2 linked regions of the Oreochromis niloticus genome follow. The protein of the gene in region 1 interacts with the protein of each later gene in a pairwise test. Links are inferred from orthologs where the notes say so. Each region holds a gene or a part of one and is shown in the gene's direction. Other genes may lie near its edges.

Region 1 (11,737 bases):
GAAAGGAGAGAGCGAAAAACAGAGGTGGTGGCTGGGGAGAGGGAGGGCCGGTGTAATCAATAATTGTATTTCATTGAGTGATGCGGGTAATTCCGTCTGATGGAACAATCCAGTTAGGTGACTGACGCGCAGCACTGCAGCGCATGAATGCTAAACAGATGAGAAAGGTTTGCGCACATTCACTGTAGGACAGCCCAGTATGTTCGTGTGTATGGGAACTACTTGCTCAGTCTTGGGGGATAGTTACAAGACACAGACTGTAGGACTTGTGGGAGTTGACGCCTGCCCATTTGAGCCGAAAAGATATGTTTAAGGGAAAAGTTTTCCACTTCTTTCGAAAGACAAGTTGCAAAAATATCCCGACATCTAAATTCTGTGAACAGCAGAGATTCTTGCAACTCAGCTCCCCTCCGTCTGTTCTTAGAGTCAACCGTAACCATTTTCTTAAAAGTGGAGCTGTCTGGGAGCTCACCTTGGTTATGCAGAGTGGATCCTGAAGCCGCACAACGCATTTTAACGAAATCTCGCCTCTGTCCGTGGTGCTGACCGACCAACTCCTCCGCGCCCAGTTTACCTCAGATAACTTCTCAGAAAATGCTCGATATGTTGCATGCACAGTCGTTCTGTGAGCCACTGACATCGCTCTGAAAGTTATTAGCAAACATCGTTGCTGAAGTACTTTTATAGCCTGTCGCTTTCAGGGCATGCGGAAGCTGTGGAAGAAAATCTGTAGTTTATATAGTCAGTACAAGTAGTGCAAAATTATGATTGACTGCAAAAAAGTGCATTGTAAACACGAAGTATCGGGGGGGTGTTCAATCCTACACTTTTTATGCTGTTTGATAGTTATCAGTACTCATATGCATACATAAACATACAATAGTCTGCATCCAGTAGAGGCAATTCACAAACCAAAACAACAGTCCACATTACTACACTTAACTGCACACCCTGAGATTAACACTCCTCCACGTCCCTACACTTGTCAGAAATGATATATTCATATTTGTTTTTAAACTGTCAAGTTGATGTTTGTGATATTATGAGGGAAAACAATCAGCGCCCACTAAATAATAACATAGATTAACAATATAATAATCTGAAGTTCTACAAATGTTGGGAACGTACTGGTTATTCTTGTTGGGAGGCAATTCAGCATCTCACACATACAGCCGGAGTACTGGAGACCCCTGCTAGAGGCTTGTCTGTCAGTTTTAACAGATCTGAACCATAATTAACTTAATGCTTGTCCAATACCCCACCTCTCCACCAGGTTTCATGAATTTTAGTGAAGTAGTTTATATGTATATTTGCCAGATCAACAAACAAATGGCACTGAGAATGAAGCCAAACAGACACACAAATACGCACACAGTCCACATCACCAATACATTTTTTTTATTCAACCCTTTTTATTGCACTAACACACTGTTGTCTTACTGGCATCAACTCTCACTATATTATCTTACCCAATTTGATTTCCCAGTGGATTTAATCAGGCAAGGGAGAGAATCATAAATGAACTTCAAACCATGAACTTTACCTTACAAAATAAAGTGCATTAAAATAAAAAGAAGTGCTGTCACAAAAGCTGTATTGTGTAAAAATGATTTTCAGCTCTTGACCAGTCTTCACTTGGATCACTAATAGGACAACAATGATGGGGTCAGGGGATCTGATCAAAGTGATTCCCCTGTGGGTGTGGATTCCTTAAGGGTACCTTACCAAATCTTCATGCTTTCCTGATAATCACCAATAAGAGCACAGCAGATAAATCCCATGTTATTTGCAACAAATTTTCAGTTGCCAGGAGTACTGTGTTTTCCTGTAAGACTGAAGTTCCTTAAAGGAGTGCAGAGGCACAACTCCAGCATAATGAACTCAGCGGACACATGATACAACACTGAAATCTGATCACCTGCAGCCATGCACCGGGAGCCAGAGATACTCATACTAGTGCAGGGCAAAATTTCTGATTGCCTCTCTTGTTCTGTTACAGTCTCTGTCAAACTAATGCTTCATTAACAGGTTACTCTGGAAAAGACAACACAAATGGGAAAAGGGTTTCACACTTTAATATCGATCCCATATCTAAATACACTCTTAACTGCTTTACACAATTTTGCTTAAAAATCAGGTTTCACATTTTTTTCATTTCAGCATCCCATAGCTGGTTTTTACTTCATTTACAAGCTGCTAAGCTTAATTTGACAGTGTAAAGTAACCTGAGCAGTAAGTAAAGCCTTTGAATTCCCAATGCAGTTTAAGCAAGAGAAATGCTAATTTCTTCCATCTCACTAAAGACCACAGAGGGACTAATAGTATTGATGAACACCACACAAAGGGTGTGCAGTCCCGTTATAATAATTACATAACCGATCACAGGCTGTTAAGAGATACCCAGGCTCTTTAGATTAAGCATGATACAGCAACTGACAGTGCGCTGCTATGTCAGATACTACCCGCAAGTGACTCCTGGAGAAAGTGAGGGAAGGGGGGAAAGAAGGAAAATACAGAGTGATGCAAGCACAGGGACATTCAGCTTTTCAGTATTCACATCGTTTACAGCTGCAAATTATACCAGCAAAACCAGTGAGACACCAGAACACTGTCCACTGCAGAAAATATGTACAAGCAAGCTCTTTGATGTGTTATATCCAGTGCATCTAATTCTTTACTTTCATTATTCAAAAACTTTTTTAAAAAAATCATCGTGTTAATAGGAAGGACGTGCAGTGAATAGGGCAGGCTAGTTGTGCACCATGACATGCTTGTAACGCTGGCTATGCATCATGTTCAGGACAAATGACAGAGAGTAAGATTTTAAATGATCCACACACTGTGCACTGAAACATGCACAACACAAAAACGTGAAGGGAAACACATACACACACGCTCAGACACACAAATAAAAAGAAAAGCCTCTATCCTTTTCCTCTGAACTTGATGATTCACGGAAGCAGTGACCTGGGGTTTGGGACACTCTCTGCTTTTGATTTGGACTTGAGAAGCCCCCTCCAAGCCCCGAGCCATAAGACTCCATTTACCACTGCTGTAGAGCTGAGGAGCACTTAGCTTAATGTACGGGACAGTAGAATGGCACACACAAACACACACACACACACACACACACACACACACACACACACACACACACACACACACACACACACATGCAGATCCTCATGGATTGCAGTATCTTTTATTACAGAAAGCATGATAAAGAGGAGGTTTTCCCTTAGCTTTGGACACTTACATGTACAAACAATAGATGTGAATTTAATGCAATACCATGCTACATGTAAATACAGCCTACTATTCGTGGTGGTTATTAGAATAGTGCCAGTGTTGGACTTTGTCTTGCCTTTGCCTGGCCTGTATGCAGAGTCTATAGGCAAGGTAAGGGATTTTTGTACCACTCTGCTTGTAGTCTGATTTCCACTGACCAATCACGTTTGATCAGGCTTTCGTTGCAGGAAGGTAAACAGTGTGTGTGGACAACAATAGAGGGCTTACATTTGCTGAAATGAGTGTGTCAAACGCTGACATTTTATTAGGTTTCATAAATAATCTGCATTAACAATGACTACCAATTGAAACAGGAGGCCGCCCCAAAAACATGGTCATTGCCATACCTAGCTTGACTAAGCAATGGGTTCTTGACTGGCCACACTGATATTGACAAATTTTTGGTAAAAACACCCAACACTAAGTTATGAACTTCATCCATCCATTCATTTTCTGCTTGCCCAATTCAGGAACATGAGGGGGGCTGGAGCCTATCCCAGCTGTTACTGGGTAAGAGCCGGGTGACTTAGACAGGTCTATCCATCACAGGACTAACACAAGGAGGCAGAAACGCATTCATACTCATGTTCATAGCTAGAGTCAATTTAGAACCACCAATTAGCAAGCATGTTCTTGGACTGTGGGAGGAAGCTGGACTACCTGGAGAGAAGTCACACAAAGAAGGGAAGGTAAAACAACAGGGTCATTGTTTAGTGACTACTTAACAAGGACACACAGGCTGACTCCACCTCCTCAGCTGTAATGCTGCTCTGCTACATGTGCTGCAGACCGAGATGCTGAGACGGTTTGAAAAACTATGGGATGACACTACTGTGAAATTACGTACTCATTAGTTCTGTTAAAAAAATTTACTCAGCTAAATCTATGAGAGGACAGCATCAAAAAGCTACTTCCAGCTGCTCCCTTGCCACAAGGGGTCACTCTGTAAGTTGAATTTTACACTAGATGTTCTTCCTAACTCAGGCTCAATGGGAATTTGTAGAATTGAACCAGCAACTTTTTATTTGCCAAGCAAGATGAGCCAGTTATATTGTCCTATATATAAGTCTGATATATGGATGTTGTACCTGCTGCATCAGCTTTCCTTGATAAATTACACTGGAACAACTGTCTGCTGCTTATCTTCATCCAGATTATAACAGATGTGGACACTGATGGTAATTGCTTATGTCTTGTGGAGATAGAAGCCCTGGTTAACTGATTTAGCCTCCATCTTTTTCCGTCCACCTACACTGCTCATCTACATTCATACTGCTGACCACTTTATACTAGATTCAGCTTTAGTCATACTGCAGGGATACGTTTCGAATGTGATATAAGAAAATCTGCTGCCTTGTTGTGTCTCATCTGTGTGCTGGTATGTGTTTAGAAGTGCCGGTGAATTTGCTACCTAGAGAGCAAAACAAAAAGACACGGATGTCATTGATAGAGAGATGTGATGGATTAGAGTGCCCCAAGGGGGAAGTCCTGGTCCATCAACATGTAATGAAAACTAATTTGAAAACAGCAGGCAGCGATGAATAACTCTAAGATGAGTTCTGGTAACATTGTCTTCAGTGAGAGGTCATTATTGTCTCATATAAGAGAAAAATTGGTTGATAACATTACGATTGATGATAGAACATTAGTTGTTGTCTTCAGGAGTTATGGCTGTCTGTAAGTACGTCTGACTGAAAATCGATCAAGGGCAGAAACAATTTTACACCAAGTTTGTAATCCACCGTTCCACCATCAGATGCAACAGATGAAATGATGCATGCTGGACAAAAGAAAGGGGCTGTAATGCCATACATTTCTGCAATCTTTTAAATTTAAATTCTCTGGGGGAAAAAAATAAAAGTTGAGCAAGGAAAGGCTTGGTAACAAGGTAAACATGCAAAAGCTCAAAACATTATTTTCTCATTTCTTTTCTGTCTACCTTTGCAAGGTCCTGGATAGTCTAACGTAGCTGAGCTAAAATACCAGAGGGAAGAAAGTCAAATGGATTGTGATTATTGTCCTGGAACAGATTGAACAGGCTGTGGGAGAAGAATGTGAGCTGAATCCCATTTCAACACACAAGCCCAGGTGCATTTCTTTTACTGAGAGGAAGGTGAAATTCACAAAAGGGATCTAAAGAAAGCATTGAGGTGGTAATACCGGGTGTAATCTAACCATTTATCAACAGTAGTTTATCACCTTTTTTTCTGCAGCAAAAGAAAAACATTTTGCAAAGAATGGAGATGGTTTCAAATAATTTGCCTACATTTTAACTGTTGCTCTGTGTTAGTTAGATTAATTTAGATGTCAGACTTACACTTAACTTTATTTAATCTTATGCAAGATGCAATTTACGGGCATTCAAGGCAAAGAAATCGTGTAGCAGACAAGAAGAGCCTGGGCAGTATTAAACACATCTACAGTTGTCTGCCATGTGTTGTATTGTGTATTGCAAAAAGATGGCACAAGGGTCTAAAACTCCTTGCTTTTTTTCCTGTCTTTCTTTTTTTTTGCTTTTTATATGCAAATCCTGTCATGGTCTAGTCTTAGCCAGTCCTTGTCATTTTAACTTTCCTACAGAGAAAGACAAGTGCAGAAAATTAGGAATATACCACAGCATGACAGAAAACCAGAGAAGCAAAACAACACCATGCTGGAATGACAAAAAAAAAATCACCTCAAAAGAGAAACTGCGATGAATGCATCACTGAAACCTTTCAAAACATGTGAATCATCTGCTCCGAAATGGAAATAAGTAATCTGTGGGGAGTTACAGCTTCCTGTCATTCAACAGGAAACCTCCACTCCCCGCCGAGCAGCTAGGATTATCCTCTGCGCCTCACAGTTCTGGTTCAAATTCACAGCCTGCGTCAGCTGTCAAGACATGTAATAAAATGTGTGTGTCTGTGTGTGCTGAGGGTTGCCTGTGCCAGGTCTTGCTTTCAGTAAGTACAAAATATTTGATTTGAAAATGTATTACATCCAAAACGGTGCGAGTCCTCTCAGTCTGTTGTTTTAGGGGAAGATTGCTGTGCTGTTACCAATGTCACTACTTCTTTTCTTTTTTTTCTTTTTTTTAATGTCAGCCTGCAGGTCTTATAACAATGCTGACTGGACACCTTCGGACAGTGAAGTACTCTCAGCCAGCTGGTGAGGAGGCTCTAGTCCAACAGTGCTGCTTTCAGCTCTGCCATGGCTGAGAGGTACCATATGTCTCCTCTCTCAGGAGTCCGTCCCAGGCTACTATTGCCAAGCCGTTAAGGCCTATCCCACATATGTGCCATAATACTGTTAAGTACTAATAAGTCCTCAAGTGGTTAAGGCACTGCTGCAATTCAGATTGTGAACCCTTGTCTGTATCCACATTTGGGCTCATGAACAATAGAGAAATGACCACAGGGAGGTTCACTGGCTGGTGGTATTCCCCAAGGACCTACACCTTCCTAAGACAGGTGAGTTTACTTCTTCATGAAAATGAACTTAATCATATAATCTTAGATAACATCAGACTGCATTTGAAACACAATATGGAAACCATGTTGCTCTTTAAATGAGCCAATCATGTAACTTTAGCAAAGTAAGCAAACCCGAAACTTTCTAGGGGCAATTAAAGTAGGTCTTTCAAGTATTAATTTTCAACCTGTTATAAAAGAAGAGGTCCTATTTGCCTCTATCACCATGATTCCTTTAGTTTAAAATCCTGATACTTACAGCACTGTGACACTGGAGGCTAAAATAAGTGTGAAGTAAATAAAAAATATTTTCCAAAATCACAGTAAAAGGTTTTGCACACCTTTCATATTTAAAACACAAGAGTAGCAGCTTCGTTCCGCTTATCGTTGCCATGGGAATAGTTTAACCAATCAGAGGCGAGATAGTAGGGCCAGTTAGAAACAGTAGCCAATCAGAGAGTCTGTTGTTTAAGAGCCAGGCTGTTTGAAACGGCAAAGCAAGCACCTTTCAACTGACGACTTGTGAAACGGGCAAGCGTGGTACTTTTTATGGTTATATAAAATAGTTACGAGTTTCCGAAAAGTGGTGCTACTTACAGAGGTAGATATACTCGCTTCAAGTAGTTTAGTTTTTTTTTTATGTTCAGCTGTATTTATTGTGTTCACTTCTCCATTTCTGTTTTAGCTTTAGCTCTGATTTATTTAGCTAACAATGTTTGTTTAACTCGATCAATTAATGCGCTTGTAAATGAGTAAAATATAGAAAAGTGTAAGATTTTTTTAAGCGTACAGATAAGCATATTCGTGGATTTCTTTGTGCATGAGGATGTTTTCTGTTTACTCTGTGTGTACCTTCATTAGTTTGTAGTGTAGAAACTAGCGTTTGTGCTAAAGAAAGTTAAACAGAAGGCTTCAGCTGTGGCTTGAAATAAGTATTAAAGTTTCTTTTATAAATCAAACGCACCCAAACATGTTTTATGTCCATGTACGGTTTGCAAAACATGAGTAGGTAGGTGGGAAGCAAAAGAGTACCAACGACTATCAATAGCTGCCAAAGATTACGGTGGTGGCCATAGCTGAAATTAAAATCAATACTATATAGTAACATACCAAAGTAGGTCCCGTCCCTATGGCCAGGTATTGATCGCTCATGCTGTGTTATTAAACTAGCATAATGACACTTTATATCTCTGTATTTAGATGTCCTCAGACGAAGAGGAACCAACTAGTCCTGTTCTCCCCAAAGACTCGGACCGGGGCAGCTCCGTGTCCTCTGAGCTTCAGGTGAACATGTGCTTTTATTTACACTCATAATTCTATGGAACCATGTTTCCACCACTGGAAAACAAAAATAGCCAGGCATAGATAACTCAAAGTTTCTAGTTATCTCAAGTTTTTTGAGTTACTGTCTTGAAATTTCACTTTACTTCTCAGTAAGTGGAAATTTCGTGATAAACAACTCTAAATTTTGAGTTGGTAAGTAGGAATTGTAAGATAGTAAATTTTGATTTAAGGACAGCAAAAAAAAAAAAAATGGTGAGGAAACAAGCTTCCATACATTTCAGATCAGCAGCATTATGTTACACATCATTGTGACGTTGGTTAAAGCTACTGGACAGTCAATACGTTTTACTAGACCCAATTTCAGTCTGTCCAAATCCTTTAATTGGATGTAAAAATTAAATCAATCTATTATGTATTAAAAGGAAATGCACATCTATTTTGTTTTTGTGTTAAATGATAAAAGGACAGATTGTCTAGAAGCTGCTCTGAAAAAGTTTGGATATTAAATTCAACATTTTACACAGTTTGAATTAGTCTGCCAACCAAAATTGTGTGTGATATCAGGTTGCTTGAACTGGAACCTTTTTAAGTGTGAAAGCAGTTAAGTCCAAAGGAGTCCAAGTCCATGGACTCTGTTAGGTTGAGCAAAGCTTTACATAACATGGTCTTAGCATCACTAGGTGTCAAAATTGAAGAGTTACACTAAAATGTTGTAACCAAAATAAACAGACTTGAAACAATACACAGAAAAATACAAACTGTAACGTGCTTCAATTGATATTTGACCACCTTGTTCTTTGTTATTGTTTATCAATTAACAGGATGAGTATGAGGAGCTCCTCCGTTATGCTGTTATCACCCCTAAATTTGACACGCTTGGCGTTCAGTTGAAGCAGCGGAGCACCTCGCATCTGTCTGCAGCGGGTGGAAATAAAGATGGCACAAAGTTTCAACATGTACCAGGTATGTTGGCTTCCTCCTGTATATGAAGAACACTTTCATACACATGTGTGTGTAGGTTCACAGTCACCTAGGTCATGTTAGTCTAGAGAGCTTAGAAAAAGAGGCAACAAAACTTCTTTAAGGTCGTAAAGATGTTTCCCTTCTGATCCAAGAGCAAAGGTTTTGGAAAAAACTGGTTTATCCCAGGGACAGAACTTTTGAGACTGAGGGGTAACACTGGTGGCTGCCCGTTTTTTGTTTGTTTGTTTGTTTGTTTGTTTGTTTTTTAAGAATTGTAGAAGCCTCTTGGGAGAGAGATGAAACATCCTCACATACTTGAAGAAGTACACTTGCTTTGTTTTTTTTTCTTCAAGCTCTCTAGACTTTCAGACACACAGTTCACCAGGACTGGCTGACAGAAACTGAATGTGAGCCCTTCCAGACACTGTCTGCATCAAATGATCGTCTGTCAGAAAGGATTTGGCATCAAAAATATGGAGAAAATGTGGTGTGTGTGTGTGTGTGTGTGTGTGTATATTTTCATCTTTTAAACCAGTGTAAAAGGCTAGATATCAGTCTGTCACATTGTACCCCCTATCTCTTTCCCCTGCAATACCCACATCTTAAACACTCCATCAGTTTCCTCCCCTGTTGCGACTCTCATCTGAGGTTTAGTGCTTTAACTGTCATGGAGTAGTGCACGAGGATGTAGAAAGCAGACGGGCCAATTGGTAATGATCTCCTGGCACTCTGCCCGTACTGCTCTTTAGAGTGCAGGCTTTCTCTTCTCTCTCCCTGCAGAATTTAATTAAGATATTGACATAAATGCTTTCTTGGACAAGGAGCCACACTCATCTTATTTACCACTCTCACCTTCACATTTTCTGCTCTTAAGCTGTTTTTTGTTTTCTGACTTTTTTGGATTTAAATTTTTTTAATCAACCATTTTAATCTATCTTTGGCCACATGTATCTATTCCTCTGCCTGCTCACTGTAACTCCTGCATCTTCTTCCAGATTCTGCCATTGAAGCTAAGGATGGGAGGCACTCTAGCAGGAGCCTGAGATCGTCACAGGCCTCCCCCTTGATTGTTGAGCCACACTCGACACACTCAAGAGCCTCTCATGGTAAAATAATTGTAAAATTTCAGAGAAACAAAATGCTTATTATGTATTATGTGTAACTGTCACAATACTGTTTCATATTCTCAGCCATAGTCTGCCTGTCTGTCTGCATTTGTGCTCCCCCCCCCCTCCAGCTGAGAAGATGGCAGGTCATTCGTCTAGCAGGGTGTCACTGCTCTCAGACAATCCCTCAGAGAGGTTACCTGTGGCATCTGAGAGGTCGAGGCCAGATACCCCAGAACCCTTTGAGTTTGTTGTGACAGAGATGTTTATTTCAGAGGAGAATATAAACAAGATGGAGAACATTCTGGACACGTGGAGCAACAACCTGAAGGTTAGTCTGCTTCCACACAGTGTACAGCTGTCCTTCACAGCCACTCGGTTTCTCCTGTGGGCTTTTACATAGCTGTAAACAGCATTTATGCACAGACAGAGAAAATTTAATTGTGCTGTTTCTGGCATTTTTGATCATAATGATATTTTTCACACTCTTCTTTCTCTGCCATTGTCATTAGAAAGTTATACTGTGCCTGTGGTCAGATTAGAGATTATATAGAGGGAATGTATCTGAGCCTCAGGATGACTTTTTGAAAAGGATGACACCTCGCTGCTCTTCATGGAACCGTTGACCTTTTAACTGTGTTTCCTGGAGACATTATTCTAAAGGAAATGGGTGTCTCCATGTGGGTGTCCATCCTGCCCTTTTCCTCTGATTTTGTACAGCTCATTCATGGAGAGCAGATGACAGCCAATCACCTGCTAAGCTGTGCAGAGCTTAATCTAGGAAAAAAGCAGTACCAGCCAGAATGAGATGAGATGTGGGTTAAATAGTACACTCGTGTGTTGAGGGAGGGGTTTGAAAGTTCTTCTAAACCTGGAACTACACATCAGAACTGTAAAATAAGACATCTCTGGTGGAAAACTCTTACACTCTGTGCAGTAGCATAAATCTGGCTTAAGCTTGATGGACTTCAGATGTTTCAAGAACTGAGTCCAGCAAAAGAAAACTTAGAGATGAATTCTCAAAGATTTCTGTGTTTGCAGTTGCATCTGTCTGGCACACCTGTTCATGTAATTTAAAAATGACTACAGATATGTGTACAGATGCCCATGTTTGCTAAAGTAGAGTAATGAACACATTGTGACAGCCCTAACTTCTATTCCCTAATTAGTCAAATGTGCTGACGGAGCTACGGAAGTGGAAGTTGGCCTTCATTGAGCAACACAAGCTGGAGATGATGAAGGAGAGGGAGAGGCATGCAGCCCAGACAGCTGGCCTGAAGTCAGAGCTAGATAGCCTTAAACAGCTGTTACAAACCTACGAAACCTCCAACCAAAGGAAAGATGAGGTGACTACATGTCTATTTATTTGCTTTATCTAGTAAATCATTTAGATGTTTGTTATCTGGTAATTTGCAGAATAATATGTCATTTATTTAATCACCTGTTTTTTTTGGCGAGGGGGGGTGTCTTGTTTTTCGTCAATAAAACACGAGAAAATTGTAAAAACACCCATTACAAAATCATGGACTCCAAGCTGACATCAACTAATGTCTCACCCTTGTCTCCACAAAGAATCAGAATCAGAAAGGGTTTTATTGCCAAATGTTGAGCAGGTTTACACATTAGGAAATTGCTGCGGTACTT
Region 2 (11,648 bases), on another chromosome or scaffold:
TATTTTTTTCTGTGATCTGGTAATGTTTTTAATTGTTTTTTTTTTTTTCATTTACACAATCCAGTTAATAGTCACCAGCAGTGTGGTGAGCAAAGGCTTCACTACATCAAACACTTTGAATTGCTTAAACTTGAATTTTATCAAAAGTTAAAGTTTGACTGCTATAAGTAATTATAAATATTACTAAATTTATAAAGGTCTGCTGAAAAAGTAATACAGTACACTGTACACTGAAATAGCCCAGGGTTGTGTAAATTCAAGCCTCAGACTCAGTTATCTGAGTATCAACAAAGCTCCTTTAACCAGAGTTAAGCTTCTGAAAAATGTGAATCAAACTCTGTCCGAGTAGAAACAAGCACTCCTTTCTGAGTCCAGCTCTCTAACCTGCCACTGATGTCTCCATTAGCCTACCTCAGTCAAAGTCAGACACACACACCTACATACATGCACAGGCTGACCGTTTGCTGGTCTGTTTACATAGCATGTGCTTCAAGCTCACGCTCACATGTGGCTTCTTGAGAAAGCCACCTCTGTGCAGCCTGCTGATCCTGAATGTGCTTGTTTTATTAGACCTAAAGAACTGGGTTCAAGCATGGAGAGGGGGTATGAAATACAAGCTTGGTCTGAGGCATGGAGGTCTGACACACAAATAGCTACAGTCAAATGCAGTACAGCGCTACTGGTTATTTTTTTTACTGGGCTTCCTCCTCCTGACAAAACTATAACACATCACTGATTGTACTCACCTTCATTTGACAAGTCCAAGTCTTGAGATTTAGACTCTCTTTTGTGAAGACCCATCGAGATAACTAGTGCAACCACCGGGAAAACATCCAGAGTTAACATACTAGAACCCACCATAGGTTCAGTAACAAGCAACAATCCTAACCACTAATTAAATGGGGATTAATACTCCCAGTTGCTAGTTTCAAGTCTTCTTCAAAATGCATGGCCCTTATGTAAAACATGTGTCCATTAAGAGTAGAATGAATGACTAGAGGTGTGCTTTAAGGCATGTCTGTCATGATCCTTGCTTTTGTACCCACTGTTTTCTGTTTCATATATTCCGTTTGAATTTGTTGTAGTTTTCAGTTTAAAAGTGACCTTTGCTTAGGTTGGGTTATGTTTATTTTTTTCTGTCAAGTTTATGTGTGTAGTCTCAGGCTTTTAGCTTCCTGTTTTATTTTGATAGTCTTTCGTCCTGTTAGCGTTATACTCAGTTTTGCTTCCCCTGTTGTTAGTCAGATTAACGACAGACAATAATTACAGGAGATAATTACCTCCTGTGTATTTTTATGTCTTCTGTCTCCCTCTGTTCCTTGTCATGTTGTTCCCATTTGCTGTGTGTTTCCATGTGTTCAGTGCTTTCTATCAATTTTTCCTCATTCCCAATTTCTCATATTTGGAATTTTGTACTTTTGTATTTCTTTTTAGTCTAGCAGTTACAGCAAATAAATCTGACTCTCTTAGTTACTGCTTTGCTTCTGAGTGCTGTGTTTGCATCCTACCTCTGCTTGCCACTGCCTGCTATGATGACAGTGACTGACGAGGTGCTACTTTGTTAGCATGTTTTCACATTACAAACTCAAGACCTTAGCTTACAACATCACAGGAAGGAGCCCAAGAATTTTCCATAAATAAAACTGTTAGATCCAACCCTTGTCTGTAAGGTCAAGTTAAAAAAACAAACAAAAGAGGCAGCTAATCTAAAAATGCCACGCTTCAGTTTTCAGAAGTACATAAACCAGTGAACGATGCCAATGACCCATCCTTTGGCCAATTTCTCTCATATGCTGTAGGTATTTGTTTTTCCAGACATTACCAAGAGGAGAAGATTTATGGAGGACATGCAGAGGAGGATATTGGAATAGTCATGGCAAGGCAAAATTTTCCAGAATTCTCGGGTAAACAGCCCGGGATTTTTTTCCCTCCAAATACTATTAAAAGCAGTAAAATAAGAACAACTACATGTCCTTTGTGTTTGTAGCTGATCATGTGTTCATGCGTTTTGACTTTTAAGACTGTAATTCATTTGGTCTGCTTAGTCCATCTGTTATGTTTGTGAAACAATATTTTGCAGCAACAGCCCAATTGAAAGCCTAACAGTGAACTCTGGGTTTTCCACTGTAATGCTGAAACTATTTCTAGATTTGAATATCATTTTTGAAAGCTGCAGTGTCTACAAATTAAAGACCAAGCCACAAATTTCTATGACGATGAACATAAATCTCATAAAACAATAAACCTTCAGAGTTCTCTTAAAATGACAATACATAACGACAATCTATTTTCAATTATCTGAATCAAACACATCTTTAAACTCAACAAATAATTACTGGTCATTTAATCTCACCATGTTCAAACCGATGGAACATCTGTGCAGGAACAGTCGCACCCATCTCTTCTTCAGTATGATGCTTTACTGCACTCGAGGGAGCCCATTCACCGCAGCAGGGTGTAGTTTGGTTATGAGCCGTTTGTCATTTCTGTCATTTTGCTCGTGCAAAAGGGAATGAAGCCTCTCTAGGTAGATTTACAAGAACCGTTTACGCCTGGTTGGACATCAGGACATTATCAAGTTAAGAAGAGACTTTGAGGAACAGAGATCCACTTTCTTTCCTGGGTGAGTGAGTGCTTTCCTTCCAGCTTCTATCTCAGCATACACATGTGAAACAGGAGACTCACTTGGAGATAACCAGAGACCCAGTGGCACCTACTTCACACAGTGCTGTCACTGCCGGTGAGAACTATCTGTAGGAAGTTCATGACAGTGGTAAAGAAAGTCTTTGAAGAGACAACATTCATATGGACTGGAAAGATAAGCAAATCTAGAAACATTTTATCTGAAATGTCTGCATTCAGAAGAATTGTCAATGAATGAACCCCAAGCACTCTATACAATAAACGACATTCACCTACTCATACAGCTTTTATTATATGTGCTTAAGTATTTAAACACCTTGCTTCATCTATTGCAAATTTAGAACCAGCAGATAATGGAGGATGCATGTTTTTGGAACTATCTGGCTGTGACTAAAATATCTGAAACACTTGTGATGAGATAAATGACAGAGATCATCTCACAAAAGCTCCCTATCAAGAGTTTTTCCTAATGTTTGATCATTTTACTGATTATACATACTTTCCAGACTTATCAGTCAGGAGAGTGTGTGTCTTGTTTGTTTTGCTTTTTAAGTTTAGAAACTTGAAACTAGTTTGTTAGAGTTAGTCAATAAACACTATGTTTTTAGGTTAATGTTCTGAGAACTACTTGGTTAGGTTTAGGGAAAGATAGTGTTTTGGTTTCATGGACGTTCCCTGCATGCCAAAAGATCATACGCTCCTCACAGCAATCCCATAACTCAGCGTGTCAGAGATCACTGCCAAAAGACACCTTGCACAGAAATGAGCAGTGTCTTTGGCAGAAAAGCATGAATTAACATCCTGGAAAACATGATAGGCGGATACTTATTACCTTTCGCGCAGATAGTATCTCTTAGAGGGACTGTGTCGATTACATTTTTCAAGTTGGGTTGTATGGGGTAATTTTGTATGGAGTAAACTCTGTGTTTAGTTCATTGGCCTCCCCATTCATTAGGTCTCAGTCTCACAGAACACCTTTGGGAAGCGCTTAAAGATCTGCTTAACTGATGTGATGCAATGACATGCTAGCATATGTTAGCAGATTATCAAAGAAGGTTCACCTTTAATACAGAACTGAGTCTTTCTGAAAGTAAGGAGCCATTCCTAATATAGTGGACACTGTGTGTAATATATTTGAGCAGTGCAAAATAACTGATGGGAAGCATAGCAAGCATTGGTATGTTTTGTTTCATAGGTGTTTCTCTATTGCTGAAGACAGAGGTGGCTCACATAAGCAGCACAAGAAGCCTCTGTCTGCTGTTCCACAGCTGACTGTTTAAGTTGAACTCAGTTCTACAAGAAACAGACTCAGTGGATGTCCCCAGGTGTGTGTCTCAATTCAGCTCTAACACTCTTAATGAGATGAATTTGTTGCCGTTATACACAGTGTTCCCATGTTTGGCTGACAAAAATAAATAAATAAATAAAGCCTAGTTCAATCTCAGTGAAGTTATTAAAAAGGTAGACCAGTTTTCTAATTTGGTTTGGTTTAATGTATGTGAAATATTAACTGCTTGCCTCAAAACAAATATGCAAATACTTTTTGCTAATGCAAGCTTTTATGGCATTTTATAGAAATTTTGGTAAGGAAAGCAAATCTTGAACCCACAGTGAAAATGCAGGCTACAACATGATGGAGGAAATAAGCATGAGATATCTTCAAGGTGTAAGTAATGTTCATTTGGAGGTTAATCACAGCATAATCCCTCTGCTGCCCTAACAAAAGGCTCAGTGAAGAGAGAGGCTTTCTCATCATTATTGCAATACTCAGTTTTAGACAGCAGATGTCTTTATCTAATTTAGAGAAAAGACTGCAGTTTTTATCATAAGTGGTATACACTGTACACTGCTAAATAGAGATATAATAGAGCAATGCAGCTAATGTCTTGTAAGAGAAACTGTAGGTTTTGGCACTTAAAGCGCTGCCTTCATTTTTCATCCCTTGAGGTAATTAATACCTCAGTTATACAGTAATGATGGAGTACTAGGGGGTGGCTGTGGCTCAGGCAGAAGAGGAGATTGAGTGCCAAGTTGGAGGTTTGAGTCCCACCTCTATATAGTTATGAAGTACTTAGAGCAGCATAAAGTATTGCATGCATGTGTGTGCCAGTGGGTATATGTGGCTTTTATAAAAGAAAGCTGTAAGTGTTAGAATTGAAAGTGTAGGTGATAGAAAACAGAGAAGCTCATTTGGTTAGCAGGAGAAAGATGCCCATTCAGGAAGTGCTGGGGATGCACCTGCTACTGATATCAAACTCATGTCTGCACCTCATCAACAGGTTCACACTATGATATCTGCAGACAAATAAAGATTCAGATTGAAGATCGTTAAAGTGTATGTATAAAATACATACACTTGAAGTGATCTTCTCAAACAATAATCCATACTTTGCATTTCAGAGAGAAACAGATTTTTCATTGCACAGCATTTATCTTATATGAAGGTAATTGTGTACAAAACACCTTAAAATATGTTAATTTAAAAAATTAATTGTTACAGATTTAAAAGACTCCTGCAGGGTTTCTGTTTGAAGTTGAGAGTTCTTGTTAAAAAGTCAATAAAATCTGAAAAGATTACAAAGAGACACAAATGACTAAAACAGACACAACAAACAAATGAAAAAACAACTACTGATTGCTGAAGAAATAAATAAAATGAAAATGTATTTTTTTATTCAGGTGGAGGAGGTCTAGAGTAGGAAGACCAGAGACATAAAATACACATATGTGAACACGTGAAAAAATTTTCATGGTTCTAGATTTTCAAATATGAACATTTTTCATGGTATTCCATTTTCTTTTTGCATTGACTGCAAAGGTCCAGCATCATTTTCTAAATGCTTAGAAAAAAAATCAATAAACTTACCAAGAAAATATCAGCACAACAATATTAAAAATACTTTATCCTACATAGGATATTCTTTTTGTTCAGCAGTTGAAATACTACTACTACTACTACTGCTGCTAAAATAACAATAATAATAATAATAATAATAATAATAATAATAATAATAATGTCAAGTAAATTTTAAACATTAATTTAAATAGTAATTAGTCGCAGCCTCGTATAAAATAGGTTTTAAACATAGCTGGCACACAATAAAATGCGCTAAAAAATACTCACAGGATCTTGTTCTATGGTGAATACTGTTCAGAATTATACTTAAATATTTACTACATTTTAGGGACCTTTACGTGTTATAATCCTCGTAGTTTAAATGATTTGTATTGATTTGCAATACACGTGTGCACATCTACTGTATTGTTATCCAGTACAGCACACGTGTAGCTGGTGGCGATACTGCTCCGATCCGCTGCGATTGCACTAGAGGAAATATTAAAAAAAAAAAAAAAAAAAAAAAAGCAGCAGAAGAAGAAGAACACTAGCCAATCAGAAAGCAATTTGCTGCTGCCTGATGACCAGATACCAATAGGAAATGTGAATGTGAGCGCGGATAAACGGAATTGTTGTGTGTCGGCCTCGGTGAGATTGTATTTGGTGACAGTAATAAGAGTAATTGTTTCAGGGCCGTTAAATCCCCTCACAATGAGCCTGTCTCTGAGGTAAGCCGGTTTGTCGCAGTTATTCCAACATCCCTCATACCAGCGCACAGAGCTAGTCGCTAGCTCTTTCACATAAGAGGCGCTAGCATGTTAACTTTGCTGTGTTTGTTCGGGAGGGATATTGCATAGGAATTAGCTGGAGCTACTAATCAGTGTAGAGTCGACGTTAGCTGCTTACTGTTTTTTTTTTTTGTTTGTTTTTCTGAATGTGACTTGGACGACTACAATGCACTGTACTATAGGCCACATTTAGTTGCAAAACTACTGTTCAGATGCCACCCCTGTGCATCGTTTGTCTTTCATCCAATCCACTACAGACGTACACGTTCAGTAAGCATCGACCGCATAGCCACAGCAGAAAGTCATCAGTACCAGTACAAAGGAGCGTTTTTTCTCTTTTTTTTCTTAAACAAATGAGCATTCTTGACCAACATTGTTGCTGATTACATTTTATTCAGTGCACATACACTTTTGTGTATGTGTAGTGGAATTGTAAGGGGGAAACCTTATATTAAATATTATACATGGAGAATCTTGTGTTGAATTGGCACAGAAAGGGGGAAAAGGACCAAAAACAGAGAAAATCTAACCGAGGAAAGTAGCTGTATCAGCTGTCAGCCAAACACTTCACAGTGTTATGTGTATCTGACAATTAATGTTATAATGATACTACAGTCAATTTGTTTTGTTATGTTATTTTGTAATGTTATTGATATTTAGATAAACAGGTGTCAGAGTATTACTCTATCATGTGGTTAAGTTGCTGATAAATTAGATTTTACTGAATAAGTATTTGGTCGTAGATACTTCGTTACATTGCTAACGATATATGTACTGCACTCTGCTTGTGTTGCAAACACAGAGTGTAGATACTTGTAAACTTCAGTCTGTAAATAGTTACAGATTTTAAGTTCGTTTTCTCAGTTGTTAGGGTAAAACTGATCACAAGGCTGTGTACGTTGTCTAAACACTGAGTGCACTGCCTGCGTCTTTGTCTATTGTGTGTTTTGTCAGCCCTTTGCTACCTTCTTCTGTAAAGCTGTGGTGTTCTGCCATATGCTGTACAACATACTCTGTATTGAAGCTTTAATTTGGGGTAACAGCGGATAAATATGTCACTTAAGTTAAAGAAAAAAGTTTGCAATATGATTGCAGCTGAAACCTGTGTACATTTGTGTAACATATGCTGCATCTGTCTTTCTCCAGAACGGAGCTCATGGCAGACAAAACAAAGCGTAAGAAGAGGAGAGAACTCACTGAGGATCAGAAACATGAAATCAAAGAAGCATTTGAGTTGTTTGACACAGACAAGGACAAAGAAATTGACTACCACGAGCTGAAGGTGAGCACTGGATGATGAGAGGAAAACAAGTTTGACAGCCAAAAATAGTCCAGTGAAGCGGTATTTAATCTGCTGTGTATAGTATGTTAATATGTGCCATATGTCTGTCATAATGAACTCAAAAAGCAGTTTTTCCTCACATGTTTACATCTGCTGTGCTGCTGTAGGAATACAGAAACATCTCACTGTCACAAACTGTCAACAGGTGGCAATGCGTGCACTCGGCTTTGAAGTGAAGAAAGTGGATGTTCTCAAGATCCTTAAGGATTATGACAGAGAGGGAAATGGGAAAATAACATTTGAGGACTTCAGTGAAGTTGGTAAGTTTGCCTTCCCTGCATGTGCCCCTGTGCAGACAGGGACCAAGAGGAAGAAAATCTCTGACATCTTTAACTGAAGTGTTTCAGTAACTCTGATGCATGTTATGTATGGTTCTGCAGTGACTGATCGCATCCTAGAGCGAGACCCGAAAGAGGAGATCATGAAAGCCTTTAAGCTGTTTGATGATGACGAATCAGGAAAGATCAGTTTGAGGAACCTGAGACGTGTGGCTCGGGAACTTGGGGAGAATATCAGCGATGAAGAGCTCCGCAGCATGATCGAGGAGTTCGATACTGACGGAGATGGTGAAAGTAAGTCAGCACTTGCTCTTTTCTTCGACATTGACAATTATTGCTATACATTTAATCCCTAGAAGGGAAACGCGTTCAGTTTGTTTAAGTGAGCAGGAGTGGATGAACAGGACTTTTGTTTGTTTTGGTGTACGTACAAAAGAGGCCTATGAACTAGGGCTGCCACAAACGATTATTTTGATAGTCGATTAGTCACCGATTATTTTTGCGATTAGTCGACTAATCAGATCATGCATCCGTTGGACGTACAACGCACTAGCATGCATCTGCTCTTATATAACTATTATTAGCTTACAGCTTTAAGTGTTTAAGGTATGTACTAACTAAAAATAAAGATAAGATGATAGTTTATTAAATTTTAGTGAAATTTGCAGATTGTTTCAGTGAAGTTTAATAAACTCAGCCGTCTGCTCCTTGCTATCTAAAATATAACAGGACACCGGAGTATATTCTCGACCATCTCACACTTCTGATAATCAGTTGTCTGCTTGACGTTTATTCAGCTGTGTAAAAACTATAACTTTAATCTCAGCCAAACTGATTTACTCAGGAACAAATAAAATACTAAAAGAAGCCAAACAATAACATTTTTAAGTTTTCTAAGTGACTTATATATCGTTTTTAACCTGAGTAGCGAAAGACGGTGGTGATGTTTGAAAACGATTTGCCGGGAATCTGGTGCTCTCACTGGCTTCAATGAGCCTTGAATCCCGGCTAGCTATCGAGCTGGTGGGTAACAGACGTCTCCGAAAACGTCGGAGCGCTTTTGAAAATATGTGGTGTCTTGATAAACTGAGCAGATATTTGAGGTTTACACAGCTACATTCTCGCCTGAAAATATGTTAAATGTTTATTTTGTGACCCAGAAAGAATAATAAGAGTAATATTAAAACTAACTAGCGGCCGCCATTGTTGGAAACTGAGCAGGGCCGCACTATGAATTCTGGGACACAGCTTCTTCTTCGGAGTTTAACGGCAGCTGGCATCCTTCTTCATGCAGTGCTGCCATCTTGTGTTTCAGTCCGTTATTGCACTCTTAAATCCTACTACTTATTCCTGTGTCTTTTGGGATCTTACAAAGCTTCAAACGACGCGTCAACTATTAAATTAGTCGTCGACGATTTTGATAGGCGACGTAATCGTGACTCGTCAACTAATCGTGGCAGCCCTACTATGAACACCATTTATAAGGTGCTCGTATGGCGACACGACGTCAGGATACAGCAGTCAGACCTTGGATTGGAGTCACAGAAACGTGTCTGTTGTTTCCATTGCTGAGCTTGAAGGACCAATTTAAATGACAAGGGATTTCTAAAAATCACCCTGCAGTTCTTCAGCTGAGACACCTGAGTTAGAAAACACAAACACTGCAGTTGTCTTTTACTCGCGAGGGCAGTCATAGAGCGCTCATACTCACAGACTCGCGCTGTATCACTGTCTGCGTTCTTTATTTATACAAGCTTATGTGTGTACAAAGATAACAAAGTTATTCTAAGAACTCAGAGCTGAGGTTCCCCTTTTCTAAGTCTGTATGTTCCAGAAAAGGGGAAGCTGCTAATTGGTAAATAAGTTTATCATCACAAAAGTTATTAGGTACAAAGTCACGTAGACATGTGGTTTACTTAGTGATCCATAAAAAGAGCACATTTCATGTAGCTGATCACACTATGTACAATTTTCTTTTAACATATTTATCGTCAAGTAGTTTGGGAAAAATACATATCTTAATAGTTTTTTATCTTTACCGTGTACGACTCTGGCTACTGGAGCTCCTCTGAAAAAGAAAGCCTCAAATCTAAAAAAATTGTTTGTGGTTCTGTTAAGCACTATTGAGTCAATCATTCTTTAAACTTACTTAATAATGACTTCATGAGATTTTAAGTTAAAGATAGCGCTCTTTCTTTTCTCTTCCCTGTGAAACACAGCAGCTGGACCTGTAGCTAGCAACACACTGTGAGACAAACTGCACATAGTTTGTGTGCTTGTTGGACTGATAGAAACCTTGCATTTGAAATTACCTGACACAAATAGCTCGAACCAAATACATTAAAGCAAAAGTAATGAACCTGTTTTGAGTAAAAGTAAAAAGAAGTTGGAAAGATAAATACTGAAGTAGAGCAAAGATACCTGAAAATTGTACTTAAGCACAGTAATAAAGTATTTTTTACTTTGTTACTACTTCCTACCTTTGGAAGCTAGGTTGCACAGAGAGATGGGGGTGCTTGATTTAAATGCCTGCATGTCAGGAAAATGTGAAGAAACAAGCAAAAATGTAAATTAAGCAGCATCTGGCTGCATTTCAGTGATTTTGTGGACTGCAAAGCTTAGTGCAGAATTGATTAAATGGCTAAAGTGATACCCTTTCCATTTTCATTGTAGGGGGACAAAAGGTTTCAAACTGAATGGCAGAGATATAGAAATGTCTGCATGTTCCACTTTTTTTTTTTTTAAACCACTACAGTTTAAAACAAACAAACAAAAAACCATTTGGGCAATCAGCTACCAGAACCTTTTCTGTAATTTTATTTCTTACAATTTAAGTCCAAAGACTCTGTTGACAGATTTCTTTCTTTGTCACAGCAGCTGTTTCTTTGTCATGTAAAAGAACATAAATTATGTAACATGTTTACACTGTCAGAAAGAGGAGTTTCACTGCTCCAGCCCACTTAAGGTCAAAGTGGGCTGAACAGAGAAGCTGTAGTCAAAATAAAAGAATTTAAATAAACGAGATAAAAAGATTACAAGAAATTCATATATACACATACATGCAAAAACGAAAGGTTTTTTGTATTTTAGAGAACTGAAACTGTCATTTTTAAAACTTTTTTCTTTTGTTTTTGGTGCTCTCATTGACTGACTGGACTTGTTTACCCCCTTTCCAGTAAACCAGGAGGAGTTCCTTGCAATTATGGGCGGGGACTCCTGATGAGGGATTTCTCTGTTGCTGAGGACTTCTTGGTTGGATTGGTTGTCCAATTTGTGAGCAGTTAAGCGACTTGACTGTCAACAAGGACGCACAGCTTCCTCTGAAGCATCGCAGGTGGACAGAAGTTGTTTCATTGACCCTGAGGGTTGTACTTGAGTCATTCCATAAAAGCACTGAACTGTGTGACAGATTCAACGTCAGCCAAACTCATTTCTTATTGAAGGTGAAAGTTAAAGTATCAATATCATGCTAGTCTTTAAAATGAGCTAATCATTGTTGAGTTTTTTTGTTGGGTTTTTTCCCCCATGTCATACCATCTTTGTTAAATATGTAATGTGTTTTGCAACCATTTCGCACCTTTCTGTAATTAGATCCTGTAAAAAGATCTTTTCACTCTTTTATAAACACATTAATTTACTGTTGGGGAAAATAGAGACAAATAGGAGTAAAATGTTGTTGCTTTTATCAGAAGTGTCTGTATATTGTAAAGGACACACATATTTCATAAATGGCTATTTTGAATGGTTGTATTTCCAGTTTA

The links.
Region 2: the proteins of poc5 (region 1) and cetn3 interact in binary tests that used the Homo sapiens proteins (3 or more experiments, as listed by UniProt). The link is inferred for Oreochromis niloticus from reciprocal best matches to the Homo sapiens genes POC5 and CETN3.

The regions. Positions count from the first base shown.
Region 1 is NC_031977.2:16,909,480-16,921,216, forward strand, and holds the start of poc5 (centrosomal protein POC5), read left to right. Parts: upstream 1-7,170; 5' UTR 7,171-7,280; exon of another isoform or gene 7,281-7,341; intron 7,342-7,940; coding exon 7,941-8,024; intron 8,025-8,845; coding exon 8,846-8,987; intron 8,988-9,982; coding exon 9,983-10,093; intron 10,094-10,224; coding exon 10,225-10,424; intron 10,425-11,262; coding exon 11,263-11,439; intron 11,440-11,737. UniProt on the Homo sapiens protein: Essential for the assembly of the distal half of centrioles, required for centriole elongation. Acts as a negative regulator of centriole elongation.
Region 2 is NC_031972.2:8,995,471-9,007,118, forward strand, and holds the start of cetn3 (centrin-3), read left to right. Parts: upstream 1-6,032; 5' UTR 6,033-6,190; coding exon 6,191-6,207; intron 6,208-7,413; coding exon 7,414-7,549; intron 7,550-7,754; coding exon 7,755-7,869; intron 7,870-7,989; coding exon 7,990-8,181; intron 8,182-11,063; coding exon 11,064-11,107; 3' UTR 11,108-11,648. UniProt on the Homo sapiens protein: Plays a fundamental role in microtubule-organizing center structure and function. As a component of the TREX-2 complex, involved in the export of mRNAs to the cytoplasm through the nuclear pores.